Linked DNA regions of Caenorhabditis elegans. The protein of the gene in region 1 purifies or fractionates together with the protein of each later gene. This does not show direct contact. Each region holds a gene or a part of one and is shown on either strand. Other genes may lie near its edges.

Region 1 (7,219 bases):
CTCGGCCATAATTTTTCGAAATTTTAAAACGCCCTGAAATGTTTTAATTCATCAAATTTAATTGATTAATTAAAATGTTTGAAGACTATTACCGTGATAATAAAACTTGCTACTCTGCCTATAAGTGAAAAAATTAAAATGACAAAAAATTATTTGCCCAAGAGTCAAACCTTTGAGCAATGGAGTGCTGGAGGACGCCATTGCAAATCCGGAAGTGTAAAGTGTGTTAAGTAGAGCCAGAACATTTCCAGATTTGAGAGAAGGTGATGTTAATTCATCCGTCATATTTAGTCGCCCAGTGTGTCGTGAGCAAATCCAAAAAAAAGCAGATAATGAGAGAGCCCCCGGCAACAAGCTATTGTCCGTCCTCCACTAGCTTACAAAGCTTTAGACCGGATATACTCATCCGGTCGTCGCATGCCAACTTTCAAATTTGGCTCCTATTTTTGAGTTCAGAGACTTTTGCAATGGAATAAGAAATGTGTTTGGTCGCAAAACGACAGAATCAAGATGCAGTTCGGCTGTTGTTGTGAGAGTGGACATGAACAAAGTTTTTAGAAATATTTATTTTTTCAAGTGAAAACGAATTTTATCACGATGTCACAATAAGGGAAAGCAACAGTAGTAGGTTTAGGAAAACAAAATTGAAAATTTATACATATTAGGATTTAATTAAAAATGCATATCGAAAGTATCTTTTTCGTCCGGATGGAAACCTTTGTTATCAATTGAATATCGTGGATTGTGATCCTCAATTTCTTCCTCATCATCAACTCCAATTTCACCGTCCTCTTCATCAGTTGTATAATAATTGTAAGTATAATAGAAAATGGAGAGAAGAGCAAAGATGGCAATAACTACAAACATCGCAGCAGCATAGACAAAGAATTCGACGGCCATATTTTCAAATAAGTTAAGGATTGTGATGACTACAATGATGGAATCTCCAGCAGCAGTGGTCAAGAGCCAGAGGGCTTGTACCAGAGCTTTCATTGATGGGGCAGACTGTAATATTTACAGTTAGAATAGCATTATAAATTATAAATTTTAACTATTAACATTACCTGAGAATATGCAAATTCGTATCCGGTAATTGAGAACAAAATTTCTGCTGCCGTGATGACAACGATTTGTGGAATCTGCCAAAGAATCGACACACTATTGGACTGTACAATTTGAAGCTCGTGGATCTTTGGATTTTCGTATGTTCCGGTCAATGCATAGATGAACACACCTCCCTGCTTAACTCTGTGAAAACCGTAATTTGTTGGAGCAACGAGTGTTGCTGTTTTGTTGTAAGTCTGCCGGTCTACATCTTTTGGTGTATTCAAAAGGTAGTACAACTGCCAATATCCTGGCTTTACAGATTTCTGCTTGTAAGTTACAGCCGGTTGGGAACTAAGAGATCCAGTAATTGTAGCGTTTTGATCTCTGTCATCGGTATGACTATTATAATCGGTTTCCCAGAAGTAAAAGTCAGCAGGATGTCTTGGATTACATGGATGGTTAACATCAAAGTCGCTTGTATTTTGACGGCACATGGCAAAGTTTCCTCCGTATGAAGAATTGAATACAGTGACAATTCTGGAATTTATATATTATTTAACCATTGTTCCGTGTTATGAACACCCCTACCCCATAGAGAATTCTCCAGTTCCATCAGTTGGCTTATCAGTGTTAGCTGTGTTTTGGTAATATCCAAATGATCCGACTCCAACGTAGATGATCTTCTTGCTCTTGGCAGTCACTTTAACAGTTTTCTCCAATTTTGATGTATCTCCGCAAGCGCCGTCATAGCTGAGGTCATATGTGAGAGTCCAATCGCCATTACCTTTTGCGGGGGATTTTGTTGTAAAAAGATTATAAATTCCAGACTTGTTCTTTTTATCTTCGTGAAGATACTGAAACGTTGTTGTGTAAATACGTATAGTAATTCATGACAAAGGCAATAAATTAAATAATTTTACGATAACTTTTTCTGACTTCCTTTTTTCTTATCAGCACTTAAAATGGCATGATCTTTCGTTTAGAACTTAGGAGGAGAAAGTTAAAAGTGAAAAGAATCAAATTCGAATCTCAAACCTTGTCATGGGGAAGAACTCTCTTGTGAATTCCAGACATAACGGTAATGGTGCAATCAGTTTCAAACTGGTTCCAGAAACTAATTGATGCTTCTCCTTCTTCCGGGAGAGTTGGAAGAGTAGTCTGTAAAGAATTAATAAATTATGGAACAATTTTATTTGAAATTACATTGACTTGAAGTTGAACAAATCCAGTGATCAAAAAGGCAAGTGACGCGAGAAGCCCTCCAGTGACCATTTTTCTCAAAGGTCTAAAATATAATAATTCATTATACACAAATAATTTTATTTCAATGAAAACTCACGTAAGTCGGACACACTTGGCAGCGACTGGGTAGATGATGACCTGAAAGAGTGGGATAAAGAGAAGAATAAGCACGGCGTTCAATGTCTGCATTTGATCCGGAAGAAGGAGAAGGGTGTCAGAAAGACGACAATCCATTTGAATAGCTGAAAAAACACATTTTTAACATGTGAAGAGCGGGGATGTCTCAGTCGGTAGTGGTGGTCGCTAGCAATCACAAAATTGCACTCCTAGGTTCACTAAGCCAACGCTGGGAATTAGATTAATCAACGGCTGACTTAGCCCCCCGGCTTGATTGTAGCTTAAGCTAAAACCCAGTGGGTGCACCACAAGGAATTCTGCAGCTGACTCCCCAATTTGATCATTTTTAAATTGTTATCTAGAACTTTACAAACCTTGAATGAGCCAGACAGATCCTTGCTGATCGTAAAGTGCCCAGAACATTGGTACTGGCAAGAACATGACAAGAACACGGAGTAGGGAACGGACATCATCGATGAATTTTTTCTTTTGGCACAGATTCTTGTTTCTTTTCTCAGCTTGGAGTTCGAGGCATTTTGCATCAAGAGCACAGTCGTGAGTAGTAAGGTAGTGAAGGAGCCAGTGTTCCTTTGGTGTGGATCCTGACTTCATTTTGTTTCCAACAGCTCTCTGAATATTTAATCTTGGTTTCAAAGCAGTTTAGAAATAAAACAAAACAAAAACTTACAAACATAAGACGAGATACTTCTCCGAACACGTTGTCCTTTGGTGGGTTCTTCTTGTACCAAAATGAACCTCCCATAAATACCACTGTAAGAGTTTAATAGTCAATGTGATTTTTGAATATTTTATCTCACGTGTTGCAACAATCATAAGAATAGCCGGAATACCAAAAGCCATTGGGTAGCAGGAATCTTGTCCAAGGCATGGTTGAGCTGAAATTATTGTACTCTAATAGTGTTTTAAGAATTGTCAAGTTTACATCTGAAGATGGGAGAGATGAAAGTAGAGATCATAGATCCTGCGTTGATGGAAAAGTAGAACATGGAAAAGAAGAGTGAGAGCATTCTTTCTTGTCCTAACTCGAATTGATCTCCTCCGAATGCAGACACACATGGCTTGATTCCTCCGGTACCGAACGCAATGATCAGTAATCCAGACAGATCCATCCATCTGAAAATTCAGCAGTTTATTTCTTGTGAACCCTTTTTAATTTTGTTCGGTTTCAGTTTTTTAATGTTTAATGTGGCGCGTGCACTGTCGGGCAAAAGTTGCCACGGTTGAAGTTCTTATCATCATGCCTTGTTTCAATCGAGAGGAATTCGTAAAGACGGAAAAGTTGCATGATAAGTTTATGCGTCGAATACTGGAACAAGCATCACTTACGGGTGAACTGAAGATTGAAAATTCTTAGTAGAAGCGAGAGCGAGCACGACTTGTCCGATTGCGTATAGAATTGAGACAGAGAAGATTGTCCTGAAAAGTCGTTATTGAGTGCAAAACAACAATTATTACATACCAGAATTTTCCAATGTATCCGTCCGCAACAATTGATCCGAGAAGTGGTGTGGTATAGCAAAGCACAGTAAATCCATTGAAGAAGATCGTAGATTGTGAGTCGGTGAACTTTAGTACGTTAAGCAGGTAGAATGTCAAGACCGCTGCAAATTTTTCGTGTCACGTTTCAATTGATCTTCTGTACTGCCAACGTCATAATCATTATGGTAATAACCGGATTATGACCTTTTAGTGATATCGGTGAAAAAATGTCTTATTTGCATTTCATGTGTCAAAACTTTCGATTTTTAAATATACTGGCATGTAGATAGGAAATTCACTTTTTGAGTACCATGTACTTAAAGTAAATGTTGATAATACCCTTATCTGAAAATGTCCACCCACCGGCCGAAAATCAAAATAAGGTTTAACTCTACTTTTTCTTCACCTTACCTCTTAAACTAAACTAAAAATATATGTACAAATAAAAATATTTTTTGTAGATTATTGATACATCAGAAATGTTTAAGGCTGTTTAAAGGATCTATTATATCCTTTACACTTTTACCCTAACAAATAAAGCAACTCACTTCTCATTCCATAGTATGAGAATCGTTCGCAGAATTCGTTGGACACGATGCACAGTGTTGTTTTAGGCCAATGCCTGATCATATCAGGCCATGTTGTGTAGATTTTCTTTTCCGGTAGTGGTACTGTTTCGAGTTCATGGCCGTATGATGTTTTGCCTGAAAAACTCGTTCTGTCGATTTTCGATCAAAAACTCTGAAATTTACTCTTGTCGCCTTTTTTTTTGATAGATAAAATTTCCCACGCGGCAAGATTAGTTATAATCCATCTAATTTTAGATAAATGCCATTATCACTAGTTTTAGCGGCTGTTAAGAAGAATTGTATTTTACAAAACAATAAAACAATCTGGAAATGATGTTTCGGTATGCTGGAGGTAAGTTATTTTGTTCCGTACAGTGTGTTGCAAAATCTGCATTAATATTAGATTTATTAGTTGAGGGTTCTTGTTACTCATAAGTAATACAAAATTATTGGATTACAGTTTTCAACAGGAGCCCAGTTGTTAATGGTAGTCGCTAGCAACTAGGGGTCACGAGTATAAAACGTGAGGGGTACCCCAGCCTTAACTGGAAAGTGGATCTTTAAAATCTGCGACTGGATGATTGACCACATGCGAATCATATTTCGAGAGAAATACAATTGAACAAACTATTAAAACATTCAAATACTGTGTAATGTTACAATATCTTAAAAATTAAACTACATGGGTGGTATAATATTCAGGCTTAACCGTCTTAATAAATGTATTATGCTTTATTGAACTTTTATATGATGAATCAGTTACCTTTCGAGCTAACGCTCTCCGAGCGACTCTCCGAGTAGCCCATAGTGGCGATACTGACGAGGAATGAGCCTGTCGCGGTATTTGAGGCAAGAAATGAAGAAGAAGGAGGAGTATGGAGGTGGGCAATAGGTGCGTTGGCTCGATGACTGTGTCCTCACCAATTTCTTGCTGCGTCTCTTTATCAAGTTGAACCGCACTGTTCTTAATAGTGCTTCTCCTACTCGCTTAAATATTTCACTCATAAATTTTATCATTTCCACTTTCTTTTTCCACCACCTCTTGTAAGCGTTTTCGTACATTACATGCTCCACTAATCGGATAGCGCAGAAGGCGAGCAAAGGAATGAGAGTACGTGTCACTGTTGGAGACCAAGTTTTGATGCGGGTTGTCTGTAATTCAATGTTATCACCTATTAAGATGTACTGTTTCTGAAGAGAAAAAGAAAAATTGAGTGGAGGGTAAAGAGAAAAGCATGACAAGAAAGGCACAAAGTTGAAAAGGGTGTAAAATGGTGATATGAGCCGACTGAATATCATGTCGGCGTGATTTATGATGAAAAATGATTTAGGGGAAGGTTATTCTGTTTTCTTGTTCAAAATCTTTAAAATCTTACAACACCATTCAAAAAATTGAATTGTTAATTATAACACACAGTAAACATAACGAGACGCTGAAAATACATATGAAAACGGGTTAATGAGTGTTTTTAAAACAAGGCACCATAAATGGTGAGTAGCGAATGTAGTTAAAATGTATGGAACCACTTCTATAATGTTAAATAAATAAATTTTGAAGTATTTTCATTTGCAGCCAAAAAGTTGTGATTAATCAGCTTTGCTCACATAAAATTGGTAGTCGATTTGAAAAATAATAGAAATTTAAAAAAATAATATTCTAATTAAATCTTATACACTTGTACTGGAACATTGTACAGCGACACTACTCTTAATTTATCAAGGAGCCTAAACTATGTATAAACTTGATAACATACGTTTAATGATTTTTTTTTCAAAAAAAACTTTGAAAATTTAGACTGTTTTATGATGATCTGGATTGCAATAAAAATTTTCGGACAAAATTTCCACTGACGACAATAATCCATATGTAATGTTTGGTGTCAATTAATGAAATATTTTCAAGTAATACGTGTTTACCTTTCAAGGAATTTGCTATATTTCCTAAGAATTTTTTTAATTTTAACAAAAAATTGCGTTTCAGTTTTATGAAAAGGCGTTTGCAAGCAATTGCAATGTGTAGATGTGTAGATACAATGTGTAGATAGGCAAAGTGTAGAATTGACAAAAGCTACAGTAATAATAATACGTTGATTATTAACACAGTACCCATATCCAGATTTTCCACCCTTTTTTGTAGTCTATCATTAAAACGTTAGAAGTCTATTTCTACAATACACATGCAAAACTTGAATGCTATAAACTTAGTACGTGAGTCTAGACCATCATTTTTCTGGGAACCCTGATTAAGAACACAAGAAAAAATAGTTGAAGTTCAGCGAAACATAATTTGGATCAATTCGGCGACTTTGTCTGATTCATCCCCAGATTTCTGTCTTGATCTTCTGCATGGTATGATCTTGAAAATTGCCATTTGCTGAGTTTTTATAATATTTCAAAGTAACATCCACTGATAGTCAAATGTTTGTGTTCACCAATCATCTTGCCATCAAAAAAAAACTTTTTGAGGCCACGCGTAATTTCATCTTCTTTTCACTCTCAAAGATTCCCCCAATTAAAACTTCTACGACCTTTATATTTGATTGGCCGAATGAGACAAAACGATGCAAACACCTTACAGGTCTTCCCGCGTACCAAATTTGTGTTGTTATTACCGATTAAACCCTGAACTAGTTCATGCTGTAAATTTTTTTACTTGGTCTTTCATTTTGATTAAACTTGGCATATACTTGCCGCCGAGAGCAAAATGTTATTTGTAAGCATACTGATATCACAGTTTGTTACTT
Region 2 (3,326 bases), on another chromosome or scaffold:
AATGGGAAGTTCCTGGCGTCGAAGGTCCTCAAGTACTCGTTCAAGGAAATCAAATTCATTTTATCGCTGATCTTCTGATAAAATCGTATGGAATCGACAAGAAATTTATGAAAGGAACCGAGTTGGCGGTGAAAAAGAAGAAATAAGAAAATTTGGAGAAATTTGCAAATTCAAATAGTATTAAATCTGTTCAATGTATTCCCTCACACCTTAATTTTTTTGTTTTGAAATTCGGTCTTTCTTTATTTATTAAATACCCGTGTGTTTCTAAGTATGGGTTGTATTCGTATTTTCGGTTCCATAAAGATTCATGAAGAACTTTCTCTTATCGTTTTGAACATATCCGCTTGGTGAATTATCAGTGCCAATTTAAATATTACACATACGCGAACATTTTCGATTTTCGGGCAGAAAAAAAAGGTATTAGGTCTCGCCACGCTTTTTTTGTGAGATAAAAACGAGGGTGTGCCTTTAAAGAGTACTGTAAGTGTCGAGACCTGGTGCCGCATTTTGGACCCAAGATTTCGCGTCTGGGGGATAAATTGTTCTAAATTTTTAAGATGTTAATCCATTTTCAGATTAAATCAAAATGCCTTCAAAATACATGCAATTGGCGAAGGAAATCATCAAAAATTATGGAACCAAGGGTCAATTCGGATGTGTTTCCGGAGCAGGAAATGTGAGAGCAGTTCATGCGGAGGAAGGAAATCTACGAGTGGAATTTGAAGTTGAGAAAGATCAGTCAAACCATTTTAACACTCTTCACGGTGGATGTACATCTACGCTCATTGATATTTTCACTACTGGGGCTCTTCTTCTCACAAAACCAGCTAGGCCAGGAGTATCTGTTGATTTGCATGTTACGTACGTAAAGAGAGAAGAAAATTGTCGAATTTGATAGATTTTTAGATACCTGACCGCCGCTAAAATTGGTGAGACCCTTGTGCTCGACTCCACCGTCATCAAACAAGGAAAAACTCTTGCATTCACAAAGGTAAACTTTAAGAAAAGTTTTAAAAATATTATTTTTTTCCAGGCAGAACTCTACCGTAAAAGTGATAATGTAATGATTGCAACTGGAGTACATACCAAAGCATTCCCAACTGTGAAGAAAGCAAACTAATCAATATATTCCAAGACATGGAAATTTGCGATCCGTGCGCCAAAAATACGGTATCCGGTCTCGACACAAAATGTTTTGGTTAAATGAAAAAAGGTGTGCTTCTTTGATGAGTACTGTAATTTTAGACTCTCGTTGTTGTTGAAATTTCATTGATTTTTCAACAATTTCCCATCAATTTTCGATAAAAAAAACATTTATTAATTTATTTTAAAACTCCCATACATCAATTAAAACTTTTTTTTTTCAGAAAATCGCGAAAAAAAATCAAGAGTTGGAATTTCCAGTAAACTTTAATGGCGCACACACCTTTTCCCGTTATAAAAAAAGTTTTCGTGTCGAGACCGGCTACCGTGATTTCTGCCCAAAAATCGCAAAATTTCGTGTCTGGAATACCTCCTAAACATAATTCCTAGACACAATTTCTAATTTGATCGTTTTGAAAAACATTTCCCTTGTGTACAAAACTATTATTCCGCAATAAAATTGTAAAGAATTCTTGTTTTTTTTCCAATTTTCCATAAATACTCGTTTTAATCCGAGTACTCTGTACATGTTTTGATGGTAAGAGAATCCACGCAAGTCTACGTGGTTATGAGATTTTTGTTTTGAAACAAATATTTTTAAATCATATATTTTTTCTAAGATTGCTTGAAAATGGCATCAAAATACATGCAAATTGCGAAGGAAGTGATCAAAATGTTCGGGACAAAAGGACAATTCGGTTATGCGGCTGGAGCACGGAATGTGAGAGCAGTTCATGCGGAGGAAGGAAATCTACGAGTGGAATTCGAAGTTGAAAAGGATCAGACAAATCAATTCGAGACACTTCATGGTGGATGTACAGCAGCACTTATCGATTGTTTCACAACTGGTGCTCTTCTACTCACAAAGGAAGCGAGGCCTGGTGTTTCAGTGGATTTGCATATTACGTGAGTATCTATATCTAAATAGAGGTTTCCTAGATTATGCAATGATTTGAAACATATAAGTCTTGCGAACAAGTGCAATATTTAAGCCAAAATTCAGTGTGGGGTCCCACCACGACCGAAATGTTCTCAGCTACGGTACCAACGAACTTTTTCTAATGTTTTCTAATTTTTCCATTCCAACCTTTAATTTAAAACTACAGATTTATTGCAAAACCAACAAAAAAGAGAAATCTACCGTACTCACGAGTACGGTAACTGAAAAGTTTCGCTCATTCTAGTACCCCCATACCTATATTTTAGCTTTATAATCGTTCATTTTCGTAAACTAATAATGCCAGAAATTCAGGAGAAAATATTTATGATCATCGTAACTTCCAGATACTTGACAGCTGCAAACATCGGAGAAACTCTTGTACTCAACTCTACTGTCATCAAACAGGGGCGCTCTCTTGGATTCACTAAGGTATCATATTTTTTTATTCTTGAATATTTCTGATTACAAAAGTGTTTTATTTCAGGCAGAACTCTATCGTAAAAGGGACAATGCAATGATTGCTACTGGAGTCCACACCAAGGCGTTCCCAAAGTGATCGCTCACCATAAAATAAATAATGTTATATGCAAATTAAACTAGAATTATTTTACCATGTATTCCATTTCATTTCAGAAAATAAATATCTTTATCAATATATGTGTTTGTTTGCCATTAAAAAACACAAATATCGGAAGTGAGAGATCATTTGTTGTAAGGATAATGTGTTTTAAAGGCTCCGTATCACACGCCAACGCTCTGAGTTGATGCTCAGTGAAATACCAAAAGTGACGAAGAAGCTCAAAATTCATATTTTTTGGATGCAAATCATAGAAAGAAGTCTTATAAAAAATTCCATTAAAAAATTCCGAACATATCTTGCTGCGGTTATGTTGGAGGCAAGAAAAAAAAAAGAAATCATAATCGCCTTCGATCACTTTTTTTATACACATTGTTTATCATGAAAACTTATTCCAAAACAAGATACCAAAATTCACCACAAATATTCTAAAATTTTCAATTGCCTTATAACCAATGATGGCTGTTTCGAGAAGTTTGTACTTTTGAAGAATCCAATTTCAAGTTCCTCTTTTCCTTCGTCTAGATCCCGAGACACTTTCCACGTCGTTGGTGTTTTCTGGCAACTCTCATTTTTCAGTAAAATCAATAATTCGGGAATTGGAAAACTAATGACAATGTTGTACATTTCAATCCAAGAAATGGAGCCCAATTTCCAATTCTG

What was found.
Region 2: the proteins of pept-1 (region 1) and C25H3.14 fractionate together in Caenorhabditis elegans (co-fractionation; one large-scale study listed by BioGRID). This does not show direct contact.

The regions. Positions count from the first base shown.
Region 1 is NC_003284.9:6,455,095-6,462,313, reverse strand, and holds pept-1 (Peptide transporter family 1), read right to left. Parts: upstream 5,443-7,219; 5' UTR 5,282-5,442; coding exon 5,239-5,281; intron 4,611-5,238; coding exon 4,455-4,610; intron 4,029-4,454; coding exon 3,887-4,028; intron 3,844-3,886; coding exon 3,754-3,843; intron 3,541-3,753; coding exon 3,350-3,540; intron 3,303-3,349; coding exon 3,225-3,302; intron 3,178-3,224; coding exon 3,095-3,177; intron 3,037-3,094; coding exon 2,781-3,036; intron 2,532-2,780; coding exon 2,387-2,531; intron 2,333-2,386; coding exon 2,251-2,332; intron 2,206-2,250; coding exon 2,083-2,205; intron 1,902-2,082; coding exon 1,636-1,901; intron 1,585-1,635; coding exon 1,065-1,584; intron 1,006-1,064; coding exon 673-1,005; 3' UTR 547-672; downstream 1-546. Other genes in the region: K04E7.1 (Serpentine Receptor, class BC (Class B-like)), read right to left, coding at 171-285; Zinc metalloproteinase nas-33, read left to right, coding at 7,180-7,219. UniProt on the Caenorhabditis elegans protein: Low-affinity peptide transporter that is necessary for proton-dependent uptake of di- or tripeptides, and to a minor extent tetrapeptides, in the intestine. Transport is independent of sodium and chloride ions.
Region 2 is NC_003280.10:5,693,617-5,696,942, forward strand, and holds C25H3.14 (Acyl-coenzyme A thioesterase 13), read left to right. Parts: upstream 1-1,766; 5' UTR 1,767-1,777; coding exon 1,778-2,052; intron 2,053-2,430; coding exon 2,431-2,515; intron 2,516-2,570; coding exon 2,571-2,642; 3' UTR 2,643-2,742; downstream 2,743-3,326. Other genes in the region: eif-2D (SUI1 domain-containing protein), read left to right, coding at 1-146; C25H3.3 (Acyl-coenzyme A thioesterase 13), read left to right, coding at 590-864, 910-994, 1,037-1,123; C25H3.10 (F-box domain-containing protein), read right to left, coding at 3,078-3,323.